Regions from separate parts of the Mus musculus genome. Here regions 2 and 3 are each reported to be linked to region 1. Evidence: microRNA targets listed by miRTarBase, many of them from high-throughput screens and not tested one by one. Region 1 holds a microRNA gene; each other region holds the end of a gene's coding sequence.

Region 1 (11,066 bases):
TTAAGAGTATCAGGAGTTCAAATTCATACTTATCCTCATGAGAATTTAGAGATCAGCCTGTGATTTATGTGATTCCTCCATGTATGTGCATGTGTGTATAGTTGTGTGTGCATGTTCATGTCTATATTTGAATATACATAACATACACACACACGTATAAACGCAAGCACACATACACAGATACAGGAATGGCATTCGCCAATCCCTTTGAATGATAAGTCATGTAGAGTTTTAGAGATTATGCAATAGGGGACATTGAATGGTCTCACCCACCAGGTGTAAAAGATTGACAAAGTCAGGAGGATAAAGATTTCAAATTCATGCTTAATTCAGTTAGAGATCATCCTGGTATTCATGTGATGCCACCCATGTATGTGCATGTGTGTTTACTTGTATGTGCATGTGCATGTGTTGACATGAATATACATAACATAAACACATGTGTATATGCAAGCACACACACACACACACAGAGAAAAAATTGCATTCATTTATATGTTTGAAAGATATGTGACTTAGAGCTTTAGCAATTATGTAGTACTTGGCCAATGAAACTTCTTACTTACCAGTAAAATGTTTTTCATATTCAGATGGATCAGGAGTTCAAATTCATGAGTAACTTCAAAATGGTGTACAGATCAGCCTGGCTTCATGGGATCCTCCCCAATGTATGTGCATGTGTGTATAGTTTTGTGTGCATGTGCATGTGTGTATATGAATAGACATATACATCCACACAAACATATACAAGCAAGCACAGATACACACACAGGAATGGCACTCATCGATCCATTTGAATGATAGGTGACTTAGAGTTTTAGAGACTGCAGTAGTGGGACAGTGAATGGTCTCAGTCACCAGCTGTAAATGATTGACAAAGTCTGGAGAATCAGGATTTCAAATTCATGATTAACTTCAGTTAGAGATTATCCTGGTATTCCTGTGATGCCACCCATGTATGTGCATGTGTGTTTACATGTGTGTGCGTGTACATCTGTGTAAATGAATATATATATATATATATATATATACATATATATATATATATATATATATATATATATATATATATAACATAAACATACATGTATATGGACACACGTATGCACACATACACACAAGGAATGGAATTCATTGATATGTTTGAATGATATGTGATTTTGAGCTTTAAAGGTTATGTAGTACTGGTCAAATGAAAGTTTTTCTCACTATGTAAAAGCTTGCCATATTCAGAGGGGTCAGGAATTCATATTCATAAATAAATTCAAAAGAGAGTAGAGATCAGCCTGATTTTATGGGGTTCCCCACAATATATTTGCATGTGTGTATAGTTTTGTGTGCATGTGCATGTGTGTATATGAATATACATATACATCCACACAAACATATACAAGCATGCACAGATATACACACACACAGAAATGGCACCCATAGATCATTTTGAGTGACATGTGACATGTGACATGTGAGTTTTAGAGAGTATGCCGTGCTGGGCCAATGAATGCTCTCACTCACAAGGTAAAGACCCTTGCCAGATTCAGGATGATCAAGAGTGTAAATTCATGTTGGTTGCATGATGAGTTGGAGATCAGCCTGGCATTCATGTGATGGCTCCTGTGTATGTGCATGTGTGTTTGTGTGTGCGTACATGTACATGTGTGTATATGAATATGCATATACATGAGAGCATACATAGACACACGTGCATGTGCGCTTGCATGCGCGTGCGTGCACACACACACACACACACACAGAGGATATGTGATTTACAGTCTTATAGATTATGTAGTAGTGGGTAATGAATGGTCGCACTCATCATGTGTAAACAATTTGCAGATTCAAGAAGATCAGGAGTTCAAATTCATGCTTAACTTCAGCTGGACATCATCCTGGTATTCATGTGATGCCACCCGTGTATGTGCATGTGTGTTTACAGGTGTGTGCATGTGAATGTATATATATGAGTATACATGTACAGACACATGCAGCACACACACACACACGAATGCCACTCATTGATCCATTTGAATGATATGTCACTTAGCATATTAGAGATTATGCAGTACTTGGCCAGTGAGTGCTCTCATTCTCTAGGTGAAAATCCTTGCTAGAGTTAAGAGTATCCCGAGTTCAAATTCATACTTATCCTCATGAGAGATCAGCCTGTGATTCCTCCATGCATGTGCATGTGTGTATAGTTGTGTGTGCATGTTTATGTGTGTATTTGAATATACATAACATACACACACACGTATAAACACAAGCACACACACACAGACACAAGAATGACACTCATCAATCCATTTGAATGATAACTGACTTAAGAGTTTTAGAGATTATGCAATAGGGGACAGTGAATGGTTTCACTCACCAGGTGTAAATGATTGACAGAGTCAGGTTAATCAGGATTTCAAATTCATGCTTAACTTCAGTTATAGATCATTCATGTGATGCCACCCATTTATGTCGATGTGTGTTTTCGTGTGTGTGCATGTGGATGTATGTATATGATTTTGCATATACAGACACATGCACACACATGCGGCACACACACACACACACAAATGACACTCATCGATCCATTTGAATGATATGTCACTTAGAGTTTTAGAGATTATGCAGTTCTGGGACAGTGCGTGATCTCACTCTCCAGGTCAAAATGTATGCTGGAATCAGGAGTTTTAGGAGTTCAAATTCATGCTTAACTTCATGATGATTTTAAGATCAGCCTGTGATTCATGTGATTCTCAGCCATGTATGTCCATGTGTGTATATTTGTGTGTGCATGTGCTTGTGTGTATGTGAATATATATATCATACGCACGCACACACACACACAAATGCAAGCACATACACTCTCACACACAGAGGAATTGAATTCATCCATTAATTTGAATGCTATGTGACTTATTCTTTTAGAGATTATGCAGTAGTGGGACAGTGAACGGTCTCACTCGCCATGTGCAAACATATTACAGATTGAGCAGGGTCGGGAGTTCAAATTCATGCTTAACTTCAGCTGGACATCATCCTGGTATTCATGTGATGCCACCCGTGTATGTGCATGTGTGTTTACGTCCCTGTGTATGCACATGTGTGTATATAAATATACATACCATAAACATACATGTAAATGCAAGCACACAAACATGGAATGGCATTCATTGATACATTTGAATGATGTGTGACATAGAGCTTTAAAGATTATGTAGTATTGGGCTAATGAAACTTTTTACTCACAATGTGAAAAAGCTTCCCATATTCAGAAGGATTAGGAGTTCAAATTTATGAATAACTTCAAAATGGCTTAGAGATCAGCCTGGCTTTATGGGTTCCTTCCCAGTGTATGTTCATGTTGCATAGTTTTGTGTGCTAATGTATGTGTGCATATGAATATACATATAAATACACACAAACACATACACACAGGCACACACACACACACACACACACACACACACACATACACACACACACACACACACACACACACATACCCCGAATGGCACTCATTGATACTTTTAAATGACATGTGACTTAAAGTTTTAGAGATTATGCAGGGCTGGATCAGTGGGTGCTCTCACTCACAAGGTGAAAATGCTTGCCAGAGTCAGGAGGATCAGGAGTGGAAATTCATTCTCAAATTCATGAGTCCAGGATCAGCTTCGGATTCTAGTGATGCCCCCAGTGTATGTGCCTGTGTGTATATGTATGTGTGCATGTGCATGTGTGTATATGAATATACATATACATACACACATACCCATACAAACATGCACACAAACACACAGAAAATTGACACTCATCGATCCATTTCAATGATATGTGAGTCTTAGAGATTCTGTATGACTGGGCCACAGAGAGGTCTCACTCACCAGGTGACGCCCCTTGCCAGAGCCAGGATGATCAGGAGTGCAAATTCATGTTCACTGCATGATGAGGTAGAGATCAACCTGGCATTCATGTGATGACCCCTATGTATGTGCATGTGTGTTTGTGTGTACATGTACATGTATATATATATTGATATACATATAAATACATGCACACATATTCATGCATGCACACGCACACATTAATGGCACTCTTAGATCCATTTGAATAACATGTGACTTAGAGGTGAGAGATTATGCAGTACGGGGACAGTGAGTGTTCTCACTCATCAGGTGTAGACAACTGCCAGAGTCAGGTCTATCAGGAGCTTAAATGCATGCTTACACTCATGAGGACTTAGAGATCAGCCTGTGATTTATGTGATTCCCCCCATGCATGTGAACGTGTGTATAGTTGTGTGTGCATGTGTGTATATGAATATATATAACATCCACACATGTATAAATGCAAGCACAGAAACACACAAACATAGGAATGGTACTCATCGATCCATTTGAATGATATATGACTTAGAGTTTTAGAGATTATGCAGTAGAGGGACAGTGAATGGTCTCAATCACCAGGTGTAAATGATTGACAAAGTCAGGAGGATCAGGAGTTCAAACTCCATTTAGAGATCATCCTGGTATTCATTTGATGCCACCCATGTATGTGCACGTGTGCTTACATGTGTGTGCATGTTCATGAATGTATATGGATATGCATGTGCAGACACACACACACATGCAACACACACACAAACACATGGTGACTTGCATTCATCTACTTGCATAATATGTGACTAAGAGTTTTAAAGATTATGCAGTACTGTGCCCGTGCATGCTCTTACTCAACAGGTCAAAGTGCTTGCCAGAGTCAGGCCTTAAAGGTATGTGACTTAGAGTTTGAGAGATTATGCAGGGCTGGATCAGTGGGTGCTCTCACTCACAAGGTGAAAATGCTTGCCAGAGTCAGGAGGATCAGGAGTGGAAATTCATTCTCAAATTCATGATTAGGTAGGGATCAGCTTCAGATTCATGTGATGGCGCCCCCCCCCCCCAGTGTATGTGCCTGTGTGTATATGTATGTGTGCATGTGCATGTGTGTATATGAGTATACATATACATACACACATACCCATACAAGCATGCACACAAATACACGCAAAATCGCCACTCATGGATCCATTTGAATGATATGTGACTTAGTCTTAGAGGTTCTGTATGACTGGGCCAGTGCGTGATCTCACTCACCGGGTGAATAATCCTTCCAGAGTCAGGAGGATCAGGAATTCGAATTCATGCTTAACTTCATAATGAGTTAGAGATCAGATGCGATTCGTGTGATGCCCACCAAAAATGTGCATGGGTGTATAGTTGTGTGCATATTCATTTCTCTATATGAATATGCATATACACGCAAGCACACACAGGAATGGCACTCATATATCCTTTTGAATGGTATGTGACTTAGAGCTTTAGAGTTTATCCAGTAACGGACCAGAGCTATGTCTCAGTTAGGAGGTGAGTATTCTTGCCAGAGTCAGGAGGATCAGGAGGTCTAATTTATGTTTAACTTCCTGATGAGTTAGAGATCATCCTGGCATTCATGTGATGCCCACCAATAATGTGCATGTGTGTATAGTTGTGTGCATATTCATTTCTCTATATGACTATGCATATACACACATGCATACAAACTCACATACAGGAATGACAGTCATATATCCTTTTGAATGATATGTGACTCAGAGCTTTAGAGCTTATGCAGTACTGGGCCAGAGCTATGCCTCAGTTAGGAGGTGGATACTCTTTCCAGAGTCAGGAGGATACGGAGTTCAAATTCATGTTTAACTTCATGATGAGTTAGAGATCAGCCTGGAATTCATTTGATTGTCCTTGTGTATGTGTATATATGTGTAGGTAAGTGTGCTTGTACATGCATGTATATGAACATACACACACACATACATATACACATAAGAATGGCAGTCATAGATCTGTTTGATTTATATGTGCTTAGAGTTTTATAGAGTGTATAATTATGGGTCAGTGTTACATCTAACTCACCAGGTGAAAACCACTTGCCAGAGTTAGAAGGATCAGGAATTTAAATTCATGCTTAACTTCCTGATAAGTTTGTGATCATCCTGGCATTCATGTGATGCCCACCAAAAATATGCATGGGTGTATAGTTGAGTGCATATTCATTTCTCTATATGAATATGCATATACACACATGCACACACACACACACTCACACACAGGAATGACACTCGTTTATCCTTTTGAATGGTATGTGACTCAGAGCTTTAGAGCTTATGCAGTACTGGGCCAGAGCTATGTCTCAGTTAGGAGGTGAATACTCTTGCCAGCGTCAGGAGGTCCTGGAGTTCAAATTCATGTTTCACTTCATGATGAGTTAGAGATCAGCATGCGATTCATGTGATGCCCTCCCCCATGTATGTGCATGGGTTCATACTTATGTGTGCATGTAAATGTATGTATATGAATGTTCACATACATATACATAAACACACACACTGGCATTCACCTACACGCACATTAGTGGCTCTGATCGATCTATTTGAATGAGATGTGACTCAGAGCTTTAGAGCTTATGCAGAACGGATCCAGGGCTAGTTCTCCCTCCAGGTGAAAATGGCTTCTGTGGAAACCTGACAGCCTGAGTTGGATCTCTGGAACTCAGCACACAGGCAGGCTATGGTGTGATTCTTTTGGTTTTTCGTACACCTGATGATTTTCTTTGAGTTTTCAGATTGCAATATATCTTAATTTAAAATTTATCGTTCATCTGGCTCGGGAGACTGGAATACCTCCCTCATTAATAGCTGTCTTCTCTTTCATTCTCTATGAAAAAGGTCACTTTTAATTGAATGGGGTTAAGAGGTAAAGCTGGGTTGCTCTTAATATTGAAAACATTTCTGGTCGTTAAAAACTAAGAATCCTTTTGCTTATTTAATAATTCTTTAAGAATTTTTTTAAAGTGTTGTTTTTCCCTGTCAACACTTGATATTTATATGATATTAGAGTCTATTTTTGGTGATATCTTTGTCTCCTAACATAATTCAAACTAGAATGCTGTGCTTGCTTTTACACAGAGAAGTGCTTTAATTGTTGTACGAAATGTGTCCCAGCCTAATTCTTTTTCTGTAAGAAGCAGCGTTGTGGCTAGTGTTCAGGTCAAATGGACTCTCTGGTTCCTCTGCCCTTGCCTAAGGTTCTGTTGTTTTTCTGCAGTATTCCCTGATCGTAAATAAGAAGAACTCATGGGAATGCATGAATGCCTACTGTTTTAAATGACCTTGGAGCACCCTGAGACATAGGCGAATATTGCACTTCTTCTCACTGCTTTCGTTGGTTTTCCGTTGATTTTTGGGTCTAAAATACCAGCGCCTGGTCCCGTGTTAGGACACCAAAGCAGAGCCCACTTTGCAAGTGTTTTCTCGTCCATTATGGCCGTACTATTAGAAATCTGTTCTCAAGGCTCATTCCTGCTCCGCCATTCTTGCCATCCTTGTTGCTGATGTCTGAACTCACAGCTGAGGGTTTGGACTCAGTGTTTCTTTTCTAGTGGGACCCACTTCTTCTCTCTCCTGAAGAGCTGTGTCTCTTTCCTAGGTTCTGTGATGGTGATGTCTTTGTTTTCTTTTTCTCTTCCTTCCCTTCCCCTCATTTCCTCTCCTCTCCCTCCTTTCCCTTCCCCTCCTCTCTCTTCTCTTGTCCCTTCCTTCCCCTGTTCTCCCTTTCCCTCTTGTCCCCTCCCCTCCCCTGTGTTTCCTTCCCCTCTCCTCCCATCCCTTCCCCTCTGTTTTTTGTCCTTCCCTTTCCTTCTTTCCCTCTTTCACTGTTTAAAAAACATAGATTCTGGAGATGAAACTCAGGTTTTTATGCTTGTCAAGCAAAGCCCTTTACTGACTGAGTCATCTTTCCAGCCAGCTGACTTTTTGACTTTTTTACATTTGTCTCCTCTGTTTTCTGTCGGGAAATCTGAGCGCCATAAAGGGAAGACTTATGTCAGTTTGCTTCACCTCTCTAATGCTTGTATTAGAACTGCCCCACACCCAGCATGCAGAGGGCCGGCTTACTCTTTTCATGGGTGAAGGAACGAGTGTCTAGGATAGAGGTCAGGCACATCCTTGAGGACTGACAGTCTAACAAGGTGGCTTTAACTGTAGTTTATTAAATGTCTCATTCCCAACAGACTTCAGGATCTGAGTGTCTTTCCCGTTGTCTAGCTGGAACATAGCAAGCATGATATCCTTTTGCTACTTTCTTATTATGATGGCACAGCTTGTATAGCTAGGCTACATGGAAGAGGGGATTTTATTGTTATGCTGTCTGCTTTATAAGAGAGTGAAATCCTACCTTAAACTTTGCTGGTAACCCTATTCTAAGGCATAGACAAGGGGCACAGGGCCTCTGAGGTAGCCTTGAGGCTGTCCTGACTCACTTTATATATATGTATATATATATATATATATATATATATATATATATATATATATATATATATGTTTCTTATTAGGTATTTCCCTCATTTACATTTCCAATGCTATCCCAAAAGTCCCCCATACCCTCCCACCCACTCCCACTTTTTGGCCCTGGCGTTCCCCTGTAGTGGAGCATATAAAGTTTGCAAGTCCAATGGACCTCTCTTTCCAGTGATGACCGACTAGGCCATCTTTAGATACATATGCAGCTAGAGTCAAGAGCTCTGGGGTGCTGGTTAGTTCATATTGTTGTTCCACCTATAGGGTTGCAGATCCCTTTAGCTCCTTGGGTACTTTCTCTAGCTCCTCCATTGGGGGCCCTGTGATCCATCTTATAGCTGACTGTGAGCATTCACTTCTGTGTTTGCTAGACAGCTCTATCAGGATCCTTTCAGCAAAATCTTGCTAGTGTATGCAATGGTGTCAGTGTTTGGAAGCTGATTGTGGGACGGATCCCCGGATATGGCAATCACTAGATGGTTCATCCTTTCGCCTGACTCACTTCTATATCAGAATGTGGCCTCACTCATTCTGGATAGAATCTGGACTGGTGAAGCTGAAGGGTGATGGTGTGTGAAGCGTGCGTGTGTGTGATGTGTGTATGCATATGTGTGTGTGTGTGCTGTGTGTGTGTGTGTGTGTGTGTGTGTGGTTTGTTGTATGGTGTGTGTGATGTGTGTGTATGAATGTGTGTTTGTGGTTTATTTGTGTGATGTGGTGTGTGTGTGTGGGTGTGTGTGTGTGTGTGTGTGTGTGTGTGTGTGTGTGGTGGGGGAACATCACTCATGCAAGAGTCACACCTTGTAAAGAACTTTTGCTGACACATAGTCTGACTTTGCATTATACTAGCACAAAGATAACTTTTTGTCACTGAAGTCCTTTTCCAGTTACTAGTGAAAACTTGAAAAAGTACAAAAAAGTTGAAGATATTTGTCACAAGTTCAAAACAATTTCTTTTTTATATTTTTCTCTTCTTTACATCTTTTGCGTAATTCTAGTAATTTCATATGTCTGCAATTAGTCCTTTTAGCTGAAGGACATAGCATTTTTTTTCATAATTTCCCTGCCCCAACCATGCAATATCATGCCTATATGATATCTTAGGGGCTTAGAGGGGGTCTTGAGTCAATCTTGTATCATTTTCTGTTCATGGAGAGTTACTTTTGCCTTCTCCAAGTTTCGTAAAGTTGCTGTACATTTCCCAACATATAACTCATTTTCTCAGTTAGTGGGGTCACTTTTCTGAGATAAATTCCTAGGACTGAAACCATGTCAAAGGGCATAGCTCTTTATACTGTTAAGTTTTTCAAAGGCACTGTCCATTTGCTCAGCCAGACTTAATGGCTGTTTGTTGTCTGTTCATTTGTATCACAAGAAAAATGGGTCACCAACCTCTTCCCTCTTACTTGCATACCCTTTGGAAAGTCGGCATTCAAAGTAAAGAGTCATGAAGACTTAAATGCCTTTAATGGCTGTCATTCACGTAGTCTGGGTAGGTGGCTTCTTAGAAACTGTAATGGCTGGAGGGGGTTTATTTCCTCTTTATTTTTTTTCTCCTCTTTGCTGTTTTCTTTCCTCCCCCTTGGTTTAAAACCTGTTTTCCTGGCTGTGCTTAAGCCTCCGTTCTTCTTGTTCTGCCTCTGTTGACGAATGAGTGTAATTGACCCCTGTTGTCTCTATTATACATTCTGCGGCAATTTGTTTTTTATGTAGTAGTTATTTTCTGAGCTGCCTTAAAACTGCCTTCCAAAAAGAGCTCATTACCAGCTCAAAGGAAAAGAATTTTAAATGACAGAGTGAATAACAGTCCCAAGGAGAAGGGGGAGGACATGTCTAAGCCATTCCAAGTTTCAAGTAAGTGGGTAGTTTTAGGGTCCAGATAATTAATTGCTGCTCAGGTGAAGCCCAGCAAGACTTGATTCTATCTAGGAATTATTAGATTAAAAATAGCTTCCCCGTGGACACTGTTGCCCTCTGGATGTATAGACGGATTATATCCAGGTCCAAGATGACAATTTACAGCCCATTAGAAGTTAGTTTTGGAAAACCTGGCTAAACATCTATGCGCTACAATCAAGGGTGACTTCCAAATAAGAGCATTTTATCTGAACATACATCAGCCACACAGAACACCCAAATACAGTTCACACAATTCTATGGGTATTAGAAAATAGATGCTAGACAGAAGCCAAGGCTGACCTTAGCTGCCTCAGCTTCCACTTGTTTTGAGCTCAAAGGACTTTGTATGTTCATAGAAAAGGTGAAGCCCCACCGGGGGAAAGTAAACAGTGGGGGGGGGGGGTTGTGAATTTTAACACAGAACTGAGGGCAGTGCGAGGAGCAGAGGCTGGTGTGGCAAAGCCCCTGGAAGTGAAGGAAGCAGGCCTGTGAGTGGCTGGCTTTGGTACCTTCCTGCTGAGGGTGCTGAACAGAGAACTGGGAGCCAGGTCTCTTCTTGTGTAAGGCTTTGTTTGGGAGGTGGATAGAAGGTTCTGGGAGGGACTTGAGAAACAAGTGTGCTAAAGGATGGACATTTATAATGTATATTCATCCCGGCAAACATGAGAAACTGTTCGAGGAGATGGGAGCTCCTCTAGACCCTAAATGAGAAAGGTCAAGCTGGGAAGAAAAAGCCCACTGTGTACAGACATCATCTGTGCAGTCACTGATGCACGGGCTT
Region 2 (8,579 bases), not on the chromosome of region 1:
CTGAGCACCCCCAACAAGAGCTGGGTGAGCACGGAGGAAAAGCTCATTAGCACAGTGAGGAAGTTGGTGAGTGAGTGCTGTGAGGTGCAGAGAGGGAAGCCCACCACTGTCTCCTACGGGGACCCATTGGTGGAAGTCAGTGAGTTTGGGCAACAGGCTTGAGCTGATGAGCAAATAAATCATCACGGATAAATAAACGTTTTATGAGGCTGATATTGTCCTTATCTTGAGAAAGGAAAAAAATCGTTTTCCTTTGAAAATTCACCAAATACAAGGTGTATTGTCAGTAGCTGTCTGCTTGGCAAATATAATATGCCACATGATTTCAAGAACATTCATAACAACAAAAAAAAAAAGGTTTTGATTTCTTATCTTCATATAGTGTGGCTTGTAAAATACTCAAGTAGATTGGACAAATCAGTGTGTACTTATCGATTACAGGGAATAAATTAAGATGGGCATAGTATTAGAAGCCAGAACCACCAAAAACTCAAGTGCTGTAGTTTATAAGTCATTTGGATCTGACGTTTCCAGACACAAAGCTTCATTTACTTAAGCGACTCTAGAATTTCAGCAGTATGATCCTGCTTCAAACGTGAACTATGGGTAGAAGCAAATAAAAATAATGTATCTCAAGCCTGGATTCATCCACAGTTCCATCTCCCGGGGGCTGGCCAACTTTAGCCCACTTTCACAAGCCCCAGGATGTTAAGTTGGAAATGGAGACAGGCACACTCAGACAGGACAGGGTTTGTCTCATCCAAAATGCTTGGAATTCAAAGTATTTCAGATTTCAGGGGTTTTGGATTTGGGGTTATTGACTTAGATTTAACCAGTTGAATATCTTTAATCCCAAATTTCCCCTAATCTATCATGTTAGCTCTGTTTAAATAATTCCATTCTGCAATATCTCGGATTGTTTTTGAATCAACTACTCCAGTCTGTACAACATTAGCCTTTTTTTTCTGAAACATCCTTCTCTCTGTGTTCTTCAAGGCCAAGTTCCTCTCCATTCACGTGGAGAAAGGAGCCATATTTGTTAGAGAAGAAAAATAGAAACAGAGTCATCAGGAATTATTCAAAAGTGAAGGCTTTTTGACTATCGTATATTTCATTTTTGAAAGCAGTGTTCAGTAGGCAGCAACTTCTACTAACTTCTACTTCTGTCATATTTAGCAACCATAACCAGTAAAAGACAACTCTGCAGTATTTAAATGTAAAACAGTGCTCACTCAATAGCCTGCGACAATACAGGTCTTAACAGTGTTGAGGACTTGGTCAAACAAACTACTCTTACTCCTAGGAATATAAATTATAAACTAGAATAATAAATTTGCTAAATTGAAATAAAATTTAATTGACATAAAATTGTTCAGGGTTTTAGGGTATGGCCTATTGTTTCAATTAATGTATACACTGTGGAATAAACTCTAGTGTGTGTGTGTGTGTGTGTGTGTGTTTTCTTTTAAGATATCTGAGTGCAGTTGTGTATGTGACCTGAGGACAGCACTGTGGAGTTAGGTTCTAGCCTTCTACTTTTACCTGGGCTTCAGGGGTTAGATTCAGGTAATAAGCTCACATTGCAAGTGCTTTTAACTGCTGGGTTATCTCTTCAACCTCTACCACTTTGTAATTTTGACAGGAGCATAAATAAAAGCTTGTGAAGCAAGATTTCAACAGACAGGCTTCCCTACTACATTCCAGTATATAAGACAGTTTCCTGGACTCTAGAATCTTGAGTGTCTTTTGTATGAATTAAAATATATACATATGTATATATTATTACCTTTAATCTATTTTTAGTCTAGTAGTTATCCCCCTCTCATTCTGCTCTTTGACTGTTCCTCATCCCATTCCTCCTCCCCCATCTCCAAGAGGATGTTCCCACACCCTACTAGGCCTCCCCATTCCCTGGGGCCTCAAGTCTCTCTAGGGTTAGGTGCATCTTCTCCCATTGAGTCCAGACCAGGCAGTCCTCCTCTGTACATGTAGGTATGTGTCTGGGGCCTCAGACCAGCTAGTGTATGCTGCCTGGTTGGTGGCTCAGTGTCTGAGAGATCTCGGGGGTCCAGGTTTGTTGAGACTGCTGGTCTTCCTATGGGGTCACCCTCCTCTTCAACTTCTTCCAGCCTTTCCTTAATTCAACCACAGGGGATTCCCGACTTCAGACCAGTGGTTGGGTTTAAGTATCTGCTCTGTCTCAAGTCAGCTGCTTGTTGGGCCTCTCAGAGGGCAGCCATGCTAGGCTCCTATCTGTAACTACATCATAGCATCAGTAATAGAGTCAGGAGTTGGAGCATCTCCTTGAGATAGATTCCAATTTGGGCCTGTCACTGGACCTCCTTTCCCTCAGGCTCTTCTCCAGTTTTGTCCTTGCAGTTCTTTAGATAGGTACAATTCTGGGTCAAAGTTTTTGACTGTGGGATGGCAACCTGATCCTTTCACTTGATGCTCTTTCTTTCTACTGGAGGTGGATTCTACAAGTTTCCCACTGTTGGGCATTTCAGCTAAGGTCCCTCCCTTTGAGTCTTGAGATTCTCCCCCACTGCCTCCTACCTCCCGAGGTTACATATTTCCATTCATTTGCTGGCCCTTGGGGCTTCACTCCTGTATATATGTGCACATACGTGCAGTGTTTGATGGCTTAGTCCAGAAGAGAGTGTTGGGTCCCCTAGAACTGGAATTACAGATGGTTGTGAGCTATCACATGGGTGCTGGGAACTGAACCTAGGTCCTCTGCAGGACCAGCAAGTGCTCTTAATTGCTGAGCCATCTCTCCAGTCTCTTTTTATGCACATTTACCTATATGCATACCAGCCATTTAATTTCTGGTTGCCATTATCACTGATATCATTCAGCTCATGCACATCATTTTTTTTTATTATTTACTTTAAAAATCACTACCTAAAGGCCAGCACTTCACATATATCATCCCCATCAATACTCAGACATTCCTGGAAATGCATATTAGCTTTATCCAATTCCCCATTTGGACTTTTAAAGATGACTTTTTAAAACATTATATAATTAGGAAGGATGAGACCAGGACTCTCCAGACCCAGGTTCTCTTAGGCACAGGGGTTGCTGCTTTAATGTTGTGATGGGCACTACAAGCAGGCCTAACTCAAGGGATGCACCACTGCCCAGTGCCCATTCTGGAGTCTAAGTAGGTCCAATCCTATGGAAAGAATGAGTGATGGGCACACAATACCTGAACATGAGAGCAGACAAGTTGGGAAATTCAGTTAACACACCAACTGCTCATGAAAGAATTCTTTCTTGCGGGCCACCTGACGTGCTTTAGGGGTCCTTGTCTTCCTTTTTCCTCTGCCTTCCTTCCCACAAGTTACCCTCGATCCTCACATCTTCCCATACCCCATTAGTACTCTTGGATTCTGCTTTGCTTCCCACAGATACTGGCCCCTTTCATCTTTACCTTTTGGACCTGGCTTCATTTTTCTTTTCTAGAAGTGAGTTAGGGAGTGGTGCTCCATCTGCCAAGGAACTTTGAACAGCAGTAGACATGTGACAGAAATGTCTGCTTCCATCATCCTTGCTGTCTTCCTTCCTTCTCTCTCTCTCTCTCTCTCTCTCTCTCTCTCTCTCTCTCTCTGTCTCCCTAGCTTGAAAGACCAATAGGAATAATTATAGAAATGTACCGCAGAAAACTACAAACTTATCTTCATGTAAGGACTTGATAAAACACAGTCTTATGTCATTCATGTATGCATGGAGACACATGTCATGAGTCACACAATACATGAAGCCAGCTAAATTCAACCACCACTTTCTAAAAAAATAATAAAAAACTAAAATGTCACAGAAAAACAGGCCTCATATTTAAGAATTAAAGATACAGAATACACACTTAGACTCTGAAACCATTTTACTTTATTGCACTATGGAAAAGTTAGGATGTGCAAAGTAATGGAGGCACAAAACTAAGCCTTCAAAATATCTTTGGCTGAACTTGCCTGTGAGATCTTCAGACTAGAACATATATACACATACACACACACACAGAGAAAGAGAAAGTTATGGTGAAAATCATATCATAATCTTTAATATACTACACATAAAATTGTACAGAAACAAGAAAGAACATTATACACAATTAAAATATATATATTAAGAAGTTCTCCCTGAACATGAGAATTGAAAGACCCTGAGCCGATTCATCTATTTATCAGGGAAACTTTAGCAGAAGGAAACATTTCTCAACCTGGAATAGATGAGCTATGGTCTCACTCTGAGGCTAGGATACTGAATGCATGGAGGCCTGAAGCTACTTCCATGACTCACTGATTGAGGAAACATTAACTAGACATTTATTACTGAAGATTACTTAATATTGCCAAGGGGTACAAGAACACATACATACATATAGGTATAAGTCTCACTATGTAAGTATATACACATGCATATATACTGTGGATGTGAAGGTTCAGGTGTGGTTGTTCAAATGTGTGGGCACATGACTATTTGTGTCTGCGTGCATGCTGAGCTCAGAGGATAGCCTTGGTGTCACTTACAAGCACCACATATTCTTGTTTTTTGAGACAGGGTCTCTCACTGATGAGTAGGCTGGGTGCCTGGCCAACACCCTCAGGGATCTGCCTCATCTTTGCCTCCCAGCGTGGGGATTACAAGTACATTCCATCATGCCTGGCTCTATTTTAAATATGGTTTGGGGGACTGTCTTAGTCAGGGTTTCTATTCCTGCACAAACATCATGACCAAGAAGCAGATGGGGAGGAAAGGGTTTATTCGGCTTACACTTCCATATTGACAAAGGAAGTCAGGACTGGAATTCAAGCAGGTCAGGAAGCAGGAGCTGATGCAGAGGCCATGGAGGGATGTTCTTTACTGGCTTGCTTCCCCTGGCTTGCTCAGCCTGCTCTCTTATAGAACCAAGACTACCAGCCCAGAAATGGTCCCACCCACAAGGGGCCTTTCCCCCTTGATCACTAATTGAGAAAATGCCTTACAGTTGGATCTCATGGAGACATTTCCTCAACTGAAGCTCCTTTCTCTGTGATAACTCCAGCTGTGTCAAGTTGACACAAAACTAGCCAGTACAATTGACCCCTTGTCAACTTGACACACAAAAACATCACTAGTAAGCCTCAACCCTTACAATCTTATTCATCCCCAAGATCTAAATAACTTTAAACATCCCACAGTCTTTACATATTCTTAAAATTTCAATCTCTTAAAAATATCCATCTCTTTTAAAATCCAAAGTCTTTTTACAATTAAAAGTCTCTTAACTGTGGGCTCCACTAAAACAGTTTCTTCCTTCAAGAGGGAAAATATCAGGGCACAGTCACAATCAAAAGCAAAAGTCAATCTCCAACCGTCCACTGTCTGGGATCCAACTCACGATCTTCTGGGCTCCTCCAAGGGCTTGGGTCACTTCTCCACGCCATGCCCTTTTGTAGCACATGCGTCATCCTCTAGGCTCCAGATGCCTGTACTCCACTGCTGCTGATGCTCTTGGTGGTCATCTCATGGTACTGGCATCTCCAAAACACTGCATGACCCCTTCAGTCCTGGGCCTTCAATTGCAACTGAGGCTGCACCTTCACCAATGGCCTCTCACAGTGCCAAGCCTCAGCTGCTTTGCGTGACCCCTTCATGCCTTCAAAACCAGTACCACCTGGGTGACCCTTACATATTACCAAGTCCTGCTGCATCAGGAGTACAACCTTGGCCATCTCTGGAACACAGCCTCTTTGTGCTTTCAGAAAACACTTCCCAGAAGATGTCACCTCAATGATGCTGGTCTCTTCTTAATCACCGCTAATTTCTTAGCTCCAGCTAACCAGCATCAATAGTCCCAGTAATGCAAAGTTTTTGCTTTGGTAGTTCTGGTATCTTGTTAATCACAGCTGATTCTTCAGCCCCAGCTAACCAGAACTACAGAACCTTCACAATCAAAACAGCAATGGCCCTGAAAAGAGTCTTTAATTTTTCCCCTCTGAAATTTCACAAACCAGACCTCCATCTTTTGCAGTGTTCTCAACATTATCTTCCAAGTTCTTACACAACATCCGACAGAGCTCTTAACAACGGATGGATCTTCAAGCCCAAAGTTCCAAAGTCTTTCCACAGTCCTCCCCAAAACATGGTCAGGTTGTCACAGGAATACCCCACTCTGCTGGTACCAATTTGTCTTAGTCAGGGTTTCTATTCCTGCACAAACATCATGACCAAGAAGCAGTTGGGGAGGAAAGGGTTTATTCGGCTTACACTTCCATACTGCTGTTCATCACCAAAGGAAGTCAGGACTGGAACTCAAGCAGGTCAGGAAACAGGAGCTGATACAAAGGCCATGGAGGGATGTTCTTTACTGGCTTGCCTCACCTGGCTTGCTCAGCCTGCTCTCTTATAGAACCCAAGACTACCAGCCCAGAGATGGTCCCACCCACAAGGGGCTTTCCCCACTTGATCACTAATTGAGAAAATGCCTTACAGTTGGATCTTATGGAGGCATTTCCTCAACTGAAGCTCCTTTCTCTGTGGTAACTCCAGCTGTGTCAAGTTGACACAAAACTAGCCAGTACAGGGGACTGAACTCAGGTCTTTATGTTCGTAAGACAAGTACTATATTGACTGAGCCATCCTCAGGTCAGCCCAAATATATCGTAACACAGCCTGTTTCTACTAAACTGACAGGACATGATAGCACATTCAACTGCTGGTCACGTGTGAGAAAAGCATCACCACGTGACTATAATACACTGAGGGACTTCTGAACCACAAAGCTAATGTTCTCCATGTAAATCTATGAAACTGTTATTAGGCTTCACTTTGGCATTTTATGAAAATTAGATGAGCATATAAATAAGATATTTTCCCACAAAGACATACATAGAATATAAAACCAATGATACATAACACAGAAAAATAAAACTCATGGTCTTCGCATTTACAGAAATTTATAAAATCTTCTCTTCATGAAGGAAGCATGCTATAATTAAAACTTCTCATCTTGAAAATAATCCGCAGAATTGAGAAAGTTCTGCAGTTGATCATATTTCTGCATATACAACAGAAAAAATAGTTATTTTAGTCACAACAGCAAATAAGATAGACCTTTATAACTACTGAAACACATATCCTATGGTAATTGGGAATAAAAATCACTTAATTATAAATAGAAGCATTTGTAACTCACAAAGCGTTGGAAAGAAATCAAATAGTAGCATTATTAATTTCATTCCCCTTAGAAGTTATAATTGGAGATTACAGCATACGTATAATTCAATAGTTAATCCAACAGATATTTGTGGAACAGATGTGTATTTATGTAACTAGTTTCCTACTATTGACTGGTGAAGGCAGAATGTTTAAGACAATTCCCTGTCCCTGAGACACTCACAGCAACCAGCAGCACTGCTATAAGGGTCAAAAGAGAAACCATGGCCAGCTGAGGTGACCTGGAAAAAGTGATATTTCAGGTGTTTTAGACAAAAATATTTGATAGGCAACATCAGTGGCAAAGTGAGCCCCCCCCCACACACACACACAGTCCAGGAAGTTAGAAGTTCGTCCAACAGAGCCATGCCAAGGGAGCGTAGGATTTGGTAGTAACCTGATGTCTTCTGAGAGAAAGAGAGGACTGGACCAAAGAAATTGAGATGGAAGAATAAAAACTATGATACACTAGGTTATGAACTGAGCAAAGATTTGACAGACACTATGATGTTGTCAAAAATTTGAGAGCAGGGGACTGATCTTATTTGAAGTACATGTTCAGAAAATTGGTTGGCTATTCTATAGCTGTCTGGCAGTGAGCTCTGAATCTGTGGTGACAAATTAGGCAATGAGGACTCAAACCTGTGTGGCAGCAATGGAAGTGGAGTATGTTAAGAGATGCATTAAAGGTGCCCTGGAAATTTCAAGGTGAAGGAGTACAAGAATAATGGCAGGCAGGGCTCTCAGAGGCAGATCAGGGAGCAGCGATGATACATGAGTTCACATTTAGACACAGAGTCCAAGTATTTATATCAGTTGAGGACATTAAATTATTTAATGCTTTCCTGATCTGGTTTATGAACTCCGAGAGAAGATCTCAATGGCCTGAATTCTGCGATGACAAGGATTCATGGAGGCAATATGAATGAATACTGTATTTCCATCCTAGGCAAGGCCATGAAGGCCATTTCCATAACCTCAAGAGCTGTGACTGCAGCACATCCGCAAGAAAGAAGGAAGAAGAGAACAAGGCAGAAAATGCCTGTTAGCATAGCCCACTCAGAGTTCTCTTGGTTTTAGTATATGCAAATAAATTCTCTATGATCTGCAACCTATACCTTAAAAGATGGGCTGTTTTAGGCTTATTATTTTAGCTTTAAATGTGTTAATCTAGATTGTTTATAAAATGTGTTTTGGAAAATTAAAATGTACACCAGTATACTGAGAGAAGCAAATAACAATCTTTGCTTGCTTATATTACAGATACTAGCTAATGGGAGTTGATCACTTTCTAATTCCAGGCCCTAAAATATGCCACGATTCACAGGATCAAGGCTCTAAGTATTGTTTAGTCCCTATTTTATAGAGGAGCAAACTGA
Region 3 (11,066 bases), not on the chromosome of region 1:
GCTGAGTTCCTCAGTTTGATTTTTGTTTACTATATTGGGGTTTCATACATGCTACACAGACGCTCTACTACTGAGCTACATCCTCAGTAACTTTTCAAAAAGGTTTATTTATTTTATGTATAAGAGTACACCATTGCTCTCTCAGACACACCAGAAGAGGGCATCAGATACCATTGCAGATGGTTGTGAGCCACCTCTGGAAGAGCAGTTGGTGCTCTTAACCTCTGAGCCATCTCTCCAGGCCCCTCACTAACTTTTAAAAACGTTTGATTGTGACAGTGTCTCACTCTGTTACCCAGGCTGGCCTCCAGCTTCTGCCCTTCTGCCTCAGTCTTCAGAGTAGCTGGCATTACAGGTCTGTGCCATCTGCCCAACCAGTTTTCCCTTTTCACTGTTTGCCTAGTTTCCTGATCACATTTGTAAGGGGGATTCCATGAACTACAATTTCTGGGTTAAGGTTACAGAAGTGCTGTTTGGTGCACACACCATGTGGTTGCTGGGAATTGAACTCAGGACCTCTGGAAGAGCAGCCGGTGCTCTTAACCTCTGAGCCATCCCTCCAGCCCCCGGTAAAGTTTGTTTGTAACGGTTAAAATCAGCAGATGCATTGACTTTCCGTCACTCATAGGCTCCTGAAAGCCTCCCCTGATGTAAGATGCACCTCTGACTGCTTGGGGAGGTATTTTTCCCCACTGAATTCATTTTTGCATATTTCTGCATCATGGATGGATTTTAGATGGAGAACAATGTGATATCTCTCCTGGTCACTGTGTGGTCCTTTTGTTCCATTTAAATAGCAAGCCCCCTTGCAACCATGTCTTTGATTCAGGAATTGTTTAGGACTAACTTGCTATGTTTAATGTTAGGCTCTGGTAACCCCACCTATTTTGCTGGCCAAATCCCCCATGTGGAAAGCCCCTACACCTAAGTTCTATAAATCTTTGTCGTCCTCACATGTAATGCTGACCTTTTGAACCTCATGGGCGGGGGCAGGGAGGGATGGGGGGGGGGCGACAATCCTTGTATCTAATTAAAAAAAAAACAACTTGCTTTAATTTAATTTGACCATGATGATTTAGGTCAGTGGTCTTTCTCCTCTCATCTTTGGGATTAATATCCTTTGGCTCCAAGTTATTTTTTAGAAGTCAAATTTAGGGGCTGGAGAGAAGGCTCAGAGAGCAAAAATATTTGCTGCTCTTCCAGAGAACCCAGGTTCAATTCTCAGCCTTGGGCTGGGTAGCTCTCACTACTGCCGGTAACTCCAGCTCCAGGGGCCCTGGCAATCTTGCCTGGTCTCCACAGCTCCCTCTCATATGCACACGACACACATATACATAAATTTAAAACCTTTCAAACTGTCAAATTTCATATTCAGTTGTACCAGAAACCTTCCCAGCCCTGACACTATTGGTGTTTTGGTCTATTTGGTCTCGTATTTAGACTGTTGATGTGTGAGTTGCTGTAACCGATCAAAACACCATGAAAGCCCTGAAGCAAATCTTGACCTTGGATTTTGCAAAAACTGTTCTCTGTAGTCTTCAACTGAGTCTTGTAAGAAGCCTTGGGGGTTGGGAGGGGGTGGTGCTGAAGGGAACCCCTGGAGTACAGGGAACATTCGGTCTTGATGGAGGCTTATGCAAGTGTACGATTGTCGCAGAACACTTGAGTTTGAAGATTTATGCCACCAGCATTCACGAGCCATCAAGCAACTGTGGAGGGAACTTAATCTGTGTCTCCACTGAGGCCTTAGAGGGACAGTGCTGTAAACTAAGTCTTCTAATCAGAATCAGGCCTGGGCCCAGGTCTCCTGACTCTGACGAGCGCGACTCTGCTCTTTGCGTACAGGAACCTGGCAAGACTCAGAAAACAGGAAAGAAGTTGCTGGTTCCGGTAAACGGAAACGACTCAGCTGACGGTGAGTGCTTTGTCTAAGACAATAGCACAGAAGCCCAAGGGATGGGAGAGGCATTCCAATTTTCATCCCCGTGGCAGATAGGCTCTGCCAAGACAACTAAAGATGGGTGCAAAGCCTACAGTGTTATCCCTAGGGCACTCCCCAGAACCTCATATTGTTATTGATAGAATCTTTCTGTCCTTTCACTCTTCCATTTCCTTCCTTTCTACTCTGTAGTCCCCACCTTCGCCAGGGCCTCCAGAATGGTGCATTGGCCTGTGTTAATACCCACTGGCCTTTGACTAGAAGCTCCTGCCCTGGCCAGACCTAGTTCCATGAGCTGTGCACTATAAGCCACAACTCCGATTTCAGAGACTCCATGCAAAATGAATGGAAGCCATCTCATGAATAACGGTTCAGATACCGACTGCATGAGTACTGAGTTGAACCAAATGGCACTTGTTTTCTTTCATACTTAGTTTGTTCGTAAGTTAGTTTTGCACAGGTTCTGGGAACAGAACTTAGGTCTTCTGCAAGAGCAGCGTGTGCTTTTAACCACCGGGCTCTCTCTCCCACCCCCATACTCAGCACTGTACTGCTTGGGACAGAACCCAGGATTCTGAGTATGCTGGGCACTATTTGAGCCTTCCTTTTACTGGCTAAATAAGCCATGTGACTCCCGGGGCTCATGGGACTTGTATCCCGGCTCTTTCGGTTCCTCCGGATGGAAGGTGACACATTTCGTACCTGTCTCATCTATGTCACCATAACCCCATACATGAGCTTTCATGACTTAGATACAGGTTCAGGTTTTCAGTCGTTTGTTTTCCTGCATCCAGTGGCAGTGAGGCAGCCGTGAGGGAGGCCAGCTGGTATGGAAGGTCCTTCGCTCTCTGCTCTGCTGTTTCTGCAGATGAGGATAGCCTTGCCCTATACCTCATGAGTACAGCCTTGAGATACTGTACACTCACCTCCTACGCCCCTCTGTGGTTCATGCCACATGCCCTTACACACACACAGACACACAAACACACACAGACACACAAAGCAACATCTCCCACTGGGCCGTCTTGCATTACAGGAGTTTTTTTTTTTTTTTTAAAAGATTTATTTATCTATTATATGTAAGTACATTGTAGCTGTCTTCAGACACTCCAGAAGAGGGAGTCAGATCTCGTTACGGATGGTTGTGAGCCACCATGTGGTTGCTGGGATTTGAACTCTGGACCGTTGGAAGAGCAGTCGGGTGTTCTTACCCACTGAGCCATCTCACCAGCCCTTACAGGAGTTTTTTAAAGGTATATATTTAAAAACTTTCATTAAAATGTTACTTTGTATATATGGGTGTTTTGCCTGCACATATGTCTGTGCACCACGTGCATGCCTGGTACCTTGCGAAGGCCAGACGATAGTGTCAGATTTCCTGGTACTACAGTTACAGATGGTTGTGAACCATGGGTGCTGGCAATTGAACCCGAGTCCCCTGTATTCAACTGAGCCATTTCTCCAGCACCCAGATTCTTGGTTGGCTTCGGGTGTGGAGGCTTCAACAGCCAGGTTCACAGAGTGCAAGGGAGTGTGTCAGGTCCTCCCCTGGGCTTCTCCATCTGACTTAGGATTCTTGACCCTGTATGAAGTGGCTTGTAGCTTACCTGTCCCCCATGTTTTCTGACACCCAGACCTGAAGTTTATCTTCGAGTATTGTTCGGACATAGTGCCCTTTGACTCCTGGAACCGTCTCATGCGGCAGTTGGGCCTCACAGACAATCAAATCCAAATGGTCAAAGCCGAAACACTGGTCACACGTGAGGCCCTGTACCAAATGCTGCTCAAGTGGCGCCACCAGACTGGGCGAAGTGCCTCCATCAACCATCTGCTGGATGCCTTGGAAGCCGTGGAAGAGAGAGATGCCATGGAGAAAATTGAAGACTACGCAGTGAAATCCGGGAGGTTTACTTATCAGAACGCTGCAGCCCAACCAGAGACAGGGCCAGGAGGATCTCAGTGCGTTTGAAGTCAGCCTGATCTACTTAGTGAACTCAGGACAGCCAAGGCTATGTAGAGAGCCCCGAAGATGCAGGCTCTTCAGTATTATGAGAATGTACTTAATTTTTTCTTGTAGTAGTTAGTGTATCATATTATTGTATTATTTATATTATTACTGTTAAGTACTATGTTCTCTTATTAGAAGTTGAACACAGAACCTCTGAGAACACATATGCTACAAGTGTTCTAACACACCTCCAGCATCCCGGATTACCTTTGTTCCTGAACAAGGCACAATTGGTAGGGTATGATAGGGCCTGCCTATCATCCTAACACTCCGGTGATGGAGCCAGGAAGATCAAGAGTTCGAGGCCAGCTGGTTCACATAAGATCCCATATAATGTGCAGGATGGCTAAACTTGCTGAGAGCTGACTCTGTGGTCTCCTGTCCCAGATTCTAGCGATATTCATTACTAAGACCCTTGTCCAGAGACAAAAGACCACCTCTGTAACAGAGGGAAGAATAAAACAGCCCTAGGGTGGAAACTCCTTGTGAACACAGCCACTGCTGTTTACTGTTAGACTACTGCTCAGCACTACACAGCTGCACGGCACCTCCCTGTGCCAGGTGCTAGTGGGCAGCCTACTGAGGGTACATCTAACTTGAATCTAACACACTTGAAGTGAGTTTGCTGGTTTGGACACAGAGGGAGCATTAAGTGCTACCTGGGGTGACCCTTGAGGACCACGCCCCCTGTAAGCATTTGACCATTGTGAGAGTAAACACTGAAACTCACCATTGTCCTGCCTCAGCCTTTCTAGAGCTGGAATCATAGGTATGCTGCACCGGATCCAGAAGGAGAAATAACTACCTTTAGATACTGTGATAGGGATTTCTAGAAAGCTGCCACATACAGATTTTTGTCCTGTGTGAATTCCTATTGTTTTTTGTTTGTTTTTAATTTTTTATTATTTATTTTCTTCATTCACATTTCAAATGCTATCCCAAAAGTCCCCTATGCCCTCCCCCCCCCTGCCCCCCGCCCTGCTCCCCTACCCACTCACTCACTCCCACTTTTTTTTTTTTTTTTGAGACAGGGTTTCTCTGTGTAGCCCTGGCTGTCCTGGAACTCACTCTGTAGACCAGGCTGGCCTCGAACTCAGAAATTCACCTGCCTCTGCCTCCCAAGTGCTGGGATTAAAGGTGTGTGCCACCATGCCCGGCCTTTTTTTTTTTTTTTTAATTAGGTATTTATTTCATTTAAATTTCCAATGCTATCCCAAAAGTCCCCCACATGCTCCCCCACCCACTCCCCACCTGACTTTATATGCCTCACTCCCACTTCTTGGCCCTGGTGTTCCCCTGTACTGGGGCATATAACGTTTGCAAGACCAAGGGGCGTCTCTTTCCACTGATGGCCGACTAGGCCATCTTCTGATACATATGCAGCTAGAGACACGAGCTCTGGGGGGGTACTGGTTAGTTCATATTGTTGTTCCACCTATAGGGTTGCCGACCCCTTCAGCTCCTTGGGTACTTTCTCTAGCTCCTCCACTAGGGGCCCTGTGTTCTATCCAATAGATGACTGTGAGCATCCACTTCTGTATTTGCCAGGCACTGGCATAGCCTCATACGAGACAGCTATATCAGGGTCCAGTTTTGTTTTGTTTTGTTTTAAACTAGCATGCTGGAGAGGTAGCTCAGCGGTTAAGAGCAGTGGCTGCTCTTCCAGAGGTCCTGAGTTCCAATTCCCAGCAGCTACATAGTGGCTCACAACCTTCTCTAATGGGATCTGATGTCCTTTTCTAGTGTGTTTGAAGCCAGTGGCAGTGTAATTACATACACAAAATAAATAAATCTTTTTAAAAAAGAGAGCAGTGTACGTGGCCCTCATCTATTTCGTTATTTTCATTTTTTAATTTTTGCTGTGTATGAATGTTTTGCCTACATGGTTATGTGCATGATATGCATGCCTGGTGCCTTTGGAGGTCTGCAGGTCAGACGGGCATCTGGTCCCCTTGTACTGGAGTGGCAGATGGTTGTGATCCAGCATGTGGGTGCTTGAAGCTGAGGCCAGGTACAAGAGCAAGCGCAGGTGCTCCAAACTGCTGAACGATCGAGCATAAGGCCTCATTATGGCTTCTCCAGTAGATGCTCGGCACACAGCAGGACAGTTGCCTAGAGATGGCTGGTCCCAGTCATTCTGTAGTCCAAGTTGCTGTGGCGTTCATGGGGCTTCAGGAGGAAGACTCCCACTTCTGAGCATTATCCTTGCCAGTGTTGGTTATGGTATCTTGAGTGCAAGTCCAGGCTGACATCAGGATTGCACATCAGGGTTTGCTGGGCTCTGTACCCAGCCCCAAGAGCAGGTGTTTCACCCTCTCACTTGATGCCCTTCCTTATGCCTCTTAGAAGTGTGTTGGTAATATAAAACAGTACAAGACTTGTCATTAGATACAAAATACTCATGTATTATGAATTCATGACCAAATTAAATATGAAACCTTATATAAAAAGGTGTGTGGAGAGGGGTTGTGGGTTTGTGTTTTTACCCCCATCCTCTAAGACAACACTGAGTGACATGTGACATAGTCCAGAGGAGCATGTTCTTGGGACACTGCCCCACCCCTGGGGGTGTTATGCCAGACTTGTCCCACACTGGAGTTTCTCCTGCTTTTGTCTCCCTGGAATCCAGAGCACCCATGTACTAAGGGACTGCAAGCAGCACCTCCCTCTCCTGGCTCACTCACAGCCCCACCCCCCACTGTGGGTATACAAGGCCACAGGGGTCCACCTGCTGCACACCAGCTCTGACAGCTGTGGGGGTAGGGGTGGGTCCCTGAGGGGTGAACTGGCCTGGGTGGGGCATGGTGTTCTCCTTGGTCTTCCTCCACCTCCACAGATCTTTCTCCTACTAGCCTGTCCATCCTCATTACCAGTGATGCCAGGCGGCTCAGCCCTGTAAATCACTTGGGAGACCCAATTCCCCTTGCTCATTAGGACAGACATCTACCTATCATTTACAGTTCCCGAGAGAGATACCCCTGTATCGTCCAAGGAAGGTGTGAGAAGCTGCCTGCCTTTTCCATGAGTGCAGGCTTCTCCACACTAGAAGCCATTTAGAATTCAGCAGCAGGGCACACCAGCTAGTAGAGGGCAGCACACAACACACTTCCCCAGCCAGCAACTCTGGAGGGCTTTTAACTACTAGGCAGCAGCAGGCTTGGCGGTTCCAGGCTCAGACTACAGAAAATCAGCACTGTGAGACCTGCTACTACTTGTTCCTTCTGACAAGACCAGATCAGAACTCGAGGTCCCGGTACCACACAATTGTAGGTTGCATTTGTTTCTGGGGTTGCTTTAATTCCAGCTTAAGCAACCTAGCTAGGTCCTGGGGACTCAGCCAGTATTTCCTTACCTAAAGCATTTTCTCAGGGAAGGGGACCCCAGAACTTTCATGACCTACTCCCTCATGGGACTTCACCTCGTAAGTCTAGAGAGAGGGTAAAGGTGGTGATATGTGGATCGTAATTAGGAAATGGGAAGGGTCAACTGAGACCCAGTGTCAATCCCACGGGGGCTTCCAGCCACTGTTGTCAATCCTCCAGTCTCCCCAATTCCTCTTTAGACTCGCATCATTTCCTTCCTGCTCAGCTACCCCTGTTTTCTCCTTCCCCTTATCCCCAGCCAGTACCAGGTTGGCTATGTGTAGCCTGTTCTCCAGTGCTCCCTTTTTTGACATTTAATTCCTGCTGAAAGCCTCCCCCCGCCCCAGGAAGCACATTGCCCCACGCACATCCCGTAGAGTCACCTTTGGAAGAGAAAAGTATCCTGCATCAAGGTGGAAAAGGTACAAAGCCATTTGAGCCCCGAAGCCCACACTTTCCCCGAAACCCAGTAGCCTAGACCCAGCAGGCCTTGGGGAGTGGCATCCTCAGAAACGGAGGGTACAGGTCCTCCCCTGAAAGGCATTGGAGTGGTTGGTACTACTGACCCTTCATAGCCACATAATAATAGAGGCCTCCATTCAGCCTTATGAAGATGTACACCCTACAGGGTCTCTCTTTTTAGAACTTCATTCTTTTGGGGAGATGAAGGATAACATGGTCTTGGTGGTGCTTTTGAGTTTGGGTTTCTCCTGTTAGGCTGTTTTTGCTCCCATCTCATAAAAGGCAGTGCTGCCCAGAGGCAGGGGGAGAAACCCCAGAGGAGCATAAAACTGCTGAGCACAGAACCCACCCTTCCTCCTCCTCTTCCTCCTCCTTCATCCATGTCAGATGTAATGTGTGCGGGAAGGGTGAAGTAGAGAACCCACATTGTACTAAAGTGCTGCCTACAAACCTGAACACGGAGTCACCGCTGCTACCCACCACTAAGTCTACACTGCCTGCAGTCAGTCCTTACAGGATGCTGGCAGGCTGCAGTTTATTCTTCTCCCCGCCAGCAGCCACACCTCACGGCCTAGGAGACTTGATGTGGGCTCTGAAGACTTCTTTTCTACCTTAACTTCTCAAGGATTTCAATAAGCCCGAGGGACAATGCTCACGAAATACTTGCAACCCTCAAAAGTCTGTGGATGGGAAAAAAAAAAAGACCAGCTCCTGGAGAGGAAGCTGCCTCTGACCAAAGCAGACACCAATACAGACAAGCCCGAGTACAGGGGAAGCTTTCCTCCACTGGCTCTATTGTCAAGTCCAGAGAGAAAATATCCGAGCTCTGAGCTCTCTCCTGCTCCCCACCTTGGGGCAGATGTTTTCCTGCCCTGCCTGGAATTGTAGGTGGACCCTGTTCTGATCTGCAGGGCTGGCTCCTCTTAGCCTGGGCCACATTGGCTGGTGAGAACGGCTCTGCCCTTAGGATTCTGGTTAGGTGAATTCCCTCGTCACCTGTCGGGTAGAGGGGATGATACAGAAGAGCAGAAGGACAAGGGCTAATGAGGACAACAGCAGCGGGATCAGAAGACGGTGGCAGCATCTCAGACCACAGCCGAGGAGGAGGAGGAGGGGGATGCTGAGCCCGCTGCTGAGGAGGACGGTGATGAGGGACTGTTCCAAAACAGCCACCGCCGCTTGGGCTGCCTCCGCAGGTGTAAATAGTCCTCTTTCTCTCGCTCCTTCCGCGCACGCTGATAGTGGTCCTCTTCTTTCAGGTACCAGACTGGCGGCCACCGGTGTTTCTCAAAGTACTCCTGGTTTTCTAGACAACAATGCCAGGGGTGCGAAGTTAGGAGGTATTTTCAGGGCAGCGCTAAGCCTACCCTGCCCATGCTTTGGGTTAGCCCTGTCACAGAAACTTGTGGGGTTGACACAGAGACTCACCTGGAGACATAGCCTTCATGTCTCTGGGGAACTTGCGGCACACGTTGTTGTAGTTGGTGCAGATATGGTGAAGACACCAGTCGGCCAACTGGTACGCGCAGTGGAACTGTGAGTGGTACAGAAACACATCCCTACTGGAGCAGAGACTCCACATAGAGGCCTACGGAGCAGCAGCTCTGGGCAGTGCCCGTAGATACTCTGCAATCATAAGGGGCCCAACCCTCACAAGCATCCTGTCCGTTGCCAGAACTGGGCAAGACAATGATTGATGTGAGCTCCTGGGTCCTATTATCAACCCCACAATTGCCTCAAGCATGTGTACCACTAATGTTCGTGTCCCACATGCCCTCCTCTGGTACCCGCTCTTCTCAGCTCTTACCCAACCAGGATCCCCTTCTCCTCCCATCCGCAAACAAAACAGTCTGCACCAAGAAGGGGGCAACCGAGCTTAGAAAACCTGGCACCAGCCACCCTCAAAGGCCCAATTCCTGCCACCAGGACTCCTTTGCTTGGTAATAAGGAAGCAGGCAGTTAACTTCAGAGGCACTACAGAGGCAGTTAATCTCAGTACCCCCTATATGATTCAAGCCCTATCCTGGTGTTCCCTCTAATGACCTACGGTCTCGGTCCCTCTGTCTGTCATGGCTAGCTCTCTTTGCAGATGTCGACCAGGGCTGTACACTCTGCCGACCCATCACCTCCCAGAGCCCTACACTCTGTCTACGAGCAGGGTCTGGAGTCAAGACTTGTCACTTCCTTCCCTTGCCACAGTACCTGTGCCAATTCCAAGAATACAAGGACATCCCCATCGATGTCCACCATCATCTGGGTCGCCTCCATCAGTCCAGTCACTGTGTACTGCTCTGTGACACACACATACAGCAACAATCAGCTGATGGAACATGACAAAGGACCTACAGTGCTTATGTACCACAGTGGGGATTGCTATAGAAGGAGTTCAAACTGATCAGGCCAGGGCTAAGTCCCAACAGAAAGCCAGAAAGACCAAAGGAGACTTTAGGTTTGTTCCTATTAGAGGGGAAAAAGGGATGAGGGTAAGGCCTCGGTGGGGCAGGAATGGGAAATGGAAAAGGGCTGTTGAGCTAGCTAAGGGTTTTTTTCTTTTTTCAAACTACACACGTCCCACTGTACAACCTGCTACACAGAGGATCACAGCCCTCAGTACAATTAGCCACTGACGGAAGACAGTCTGAAACCTCATGTTTGTTGAAAATGAAGACAGCCTGAGAACTCTGACAGAGAACTGTGGGTTAAACCTACTTATTCAAATTAATTTAAAATGTATTAGCAGATGGTGTATAAATCTTCCAGTTTACATTCAAACATTTATATGAAGAATAAATTCCTTTGGCCCCGAATTTAAATAGAAGTATCAGAATGAACCCATGAGGTATTTCATCCTTAGAAAGATGGGTGTGTTTTTCCAGCTCCTCCGTCAGGAAAGACCAGGAAAGGAGAGTATCACAAGACTAGTGAGCATTCCCATTGTCGTTTCCACTGTAAGAAACCAGGACTTCCAGCAGCATGTATAGGGCTCTGGGTTCATCACCACTAAGAAACCAGAGTATTTGGAGAAACAGCTGACTCCAGATCTGAAACACGGTGGCGCTAGGACATTTTCCTTCTAGAAAGCAAGGACACCAAGCACTCCTGAGCAATGCAAAGAACAGACGGCTCTTGTCTAAAGGTATAGTGTTTGAACTTCAAAAAGAACAAATGTTGGTTGTGGTAGTGCATGCCTTACAATCGTAGCACTCTGGAGGATTCAGCAAAAGAATCAGGAGTTCAAAGCCAGCTTAAGTTACAAAGCAAGTTCGAGGCCAGCCTGGGCTTTATAAGACTCTGT

What was found. Region 1 holds the annotated microRNA mmu-miR-669i (UGCAUAUACACACAUGCAUAC, at 5,549-5,569, shown strand). A microRNA usually pairs through its seed, bases 2 to 8, with sites in the 3' UTR of a target mRNA and lowers its output. Matches are read on the target gene's strand: a 7mer-m8 pairs with bases 2 to 8, a 7mer-A1 pairs with bases 2 to 7 and ends in A, and an 8mer does both.
Region 2: miRTarBase lists Ccdc82 as a target of mmu-miR-669i. Seed matches in the 3' UTR shown: 7mer-m8 at 6,839-6,845 and 8mer at 4,419-4,426.
Region 3: miRTarBase lists Tnfrsf10b as a target of mmu-miR-669i. Seed matches in the 3' UTR shown: 7mer-m8 at 5,206-5,212 and 7mer-A1 at 5,323-5,329.

Annotation. Positions count from the first base shown.
Region 1 is chr2:10,512,123-10,523,188 of GRCm38, forward strand. Mir669i (microRNA 669i) reads left to right here and starts at 5,482; the gene lies at 5,482-5,608. The region is part of intron 10 of Sfmbt2 (Scm-like with four mbt domains 2); the gene reads left to right. It overlaps Mir297a-4 (microRNA 297a-4), which reads left to right and starts at 4,945; the gene lies at 4,945-5,042. It overlaps Mir669h (microRNA 669h), which reads left to right and starts at 6,033; the gene lies at 6,033-6,157. It also overlaps Mir669m-1, Mir669m-2, Mir466n, Mir669o, Mir466g and Mir466h, and 2 more genes.
Region 2 is chr9:13,287,810-13,296,388 of GRCm38, reverse strand. It overlaps Ccdc82 (coiled-coil domain containing 82), which reads right to left. Exons shown (of 9, transcript NM_025534.3): 9 at 4,036-7,042. The coding sequence ends at 6,980. Among named protein-coding and RNA genes, the nearest start is that of Maml2, 5.9 kb to the left of the region's middle.
Region 3 is chr14:69,778,659-69,789,724 of GRCm38, forward strand. It overlaps Tnfrsf10b (tumor necrosis factor receptor superfamily, member 10b), which reads left to right. Exons shown (of 8, transcript NM_020275.4): 7 at 1,846-1,915; 8 at 3,574-5,753. The coding sequence ends at 3,908. Rhobtb2 (Rho-related BTB domain containing 2) reads right to left here. Exons shown (of 10, transcript NM_153514.5): 8 at 9,974-10,062; 9 at 9,200-9,305; 10 at 6,332-9,077. The coding sequence ends at 8,857. Among named protein-coding and RNA genes, the nearest start is that of Tnfrsf10b, 17 kb to the left of the region's middle.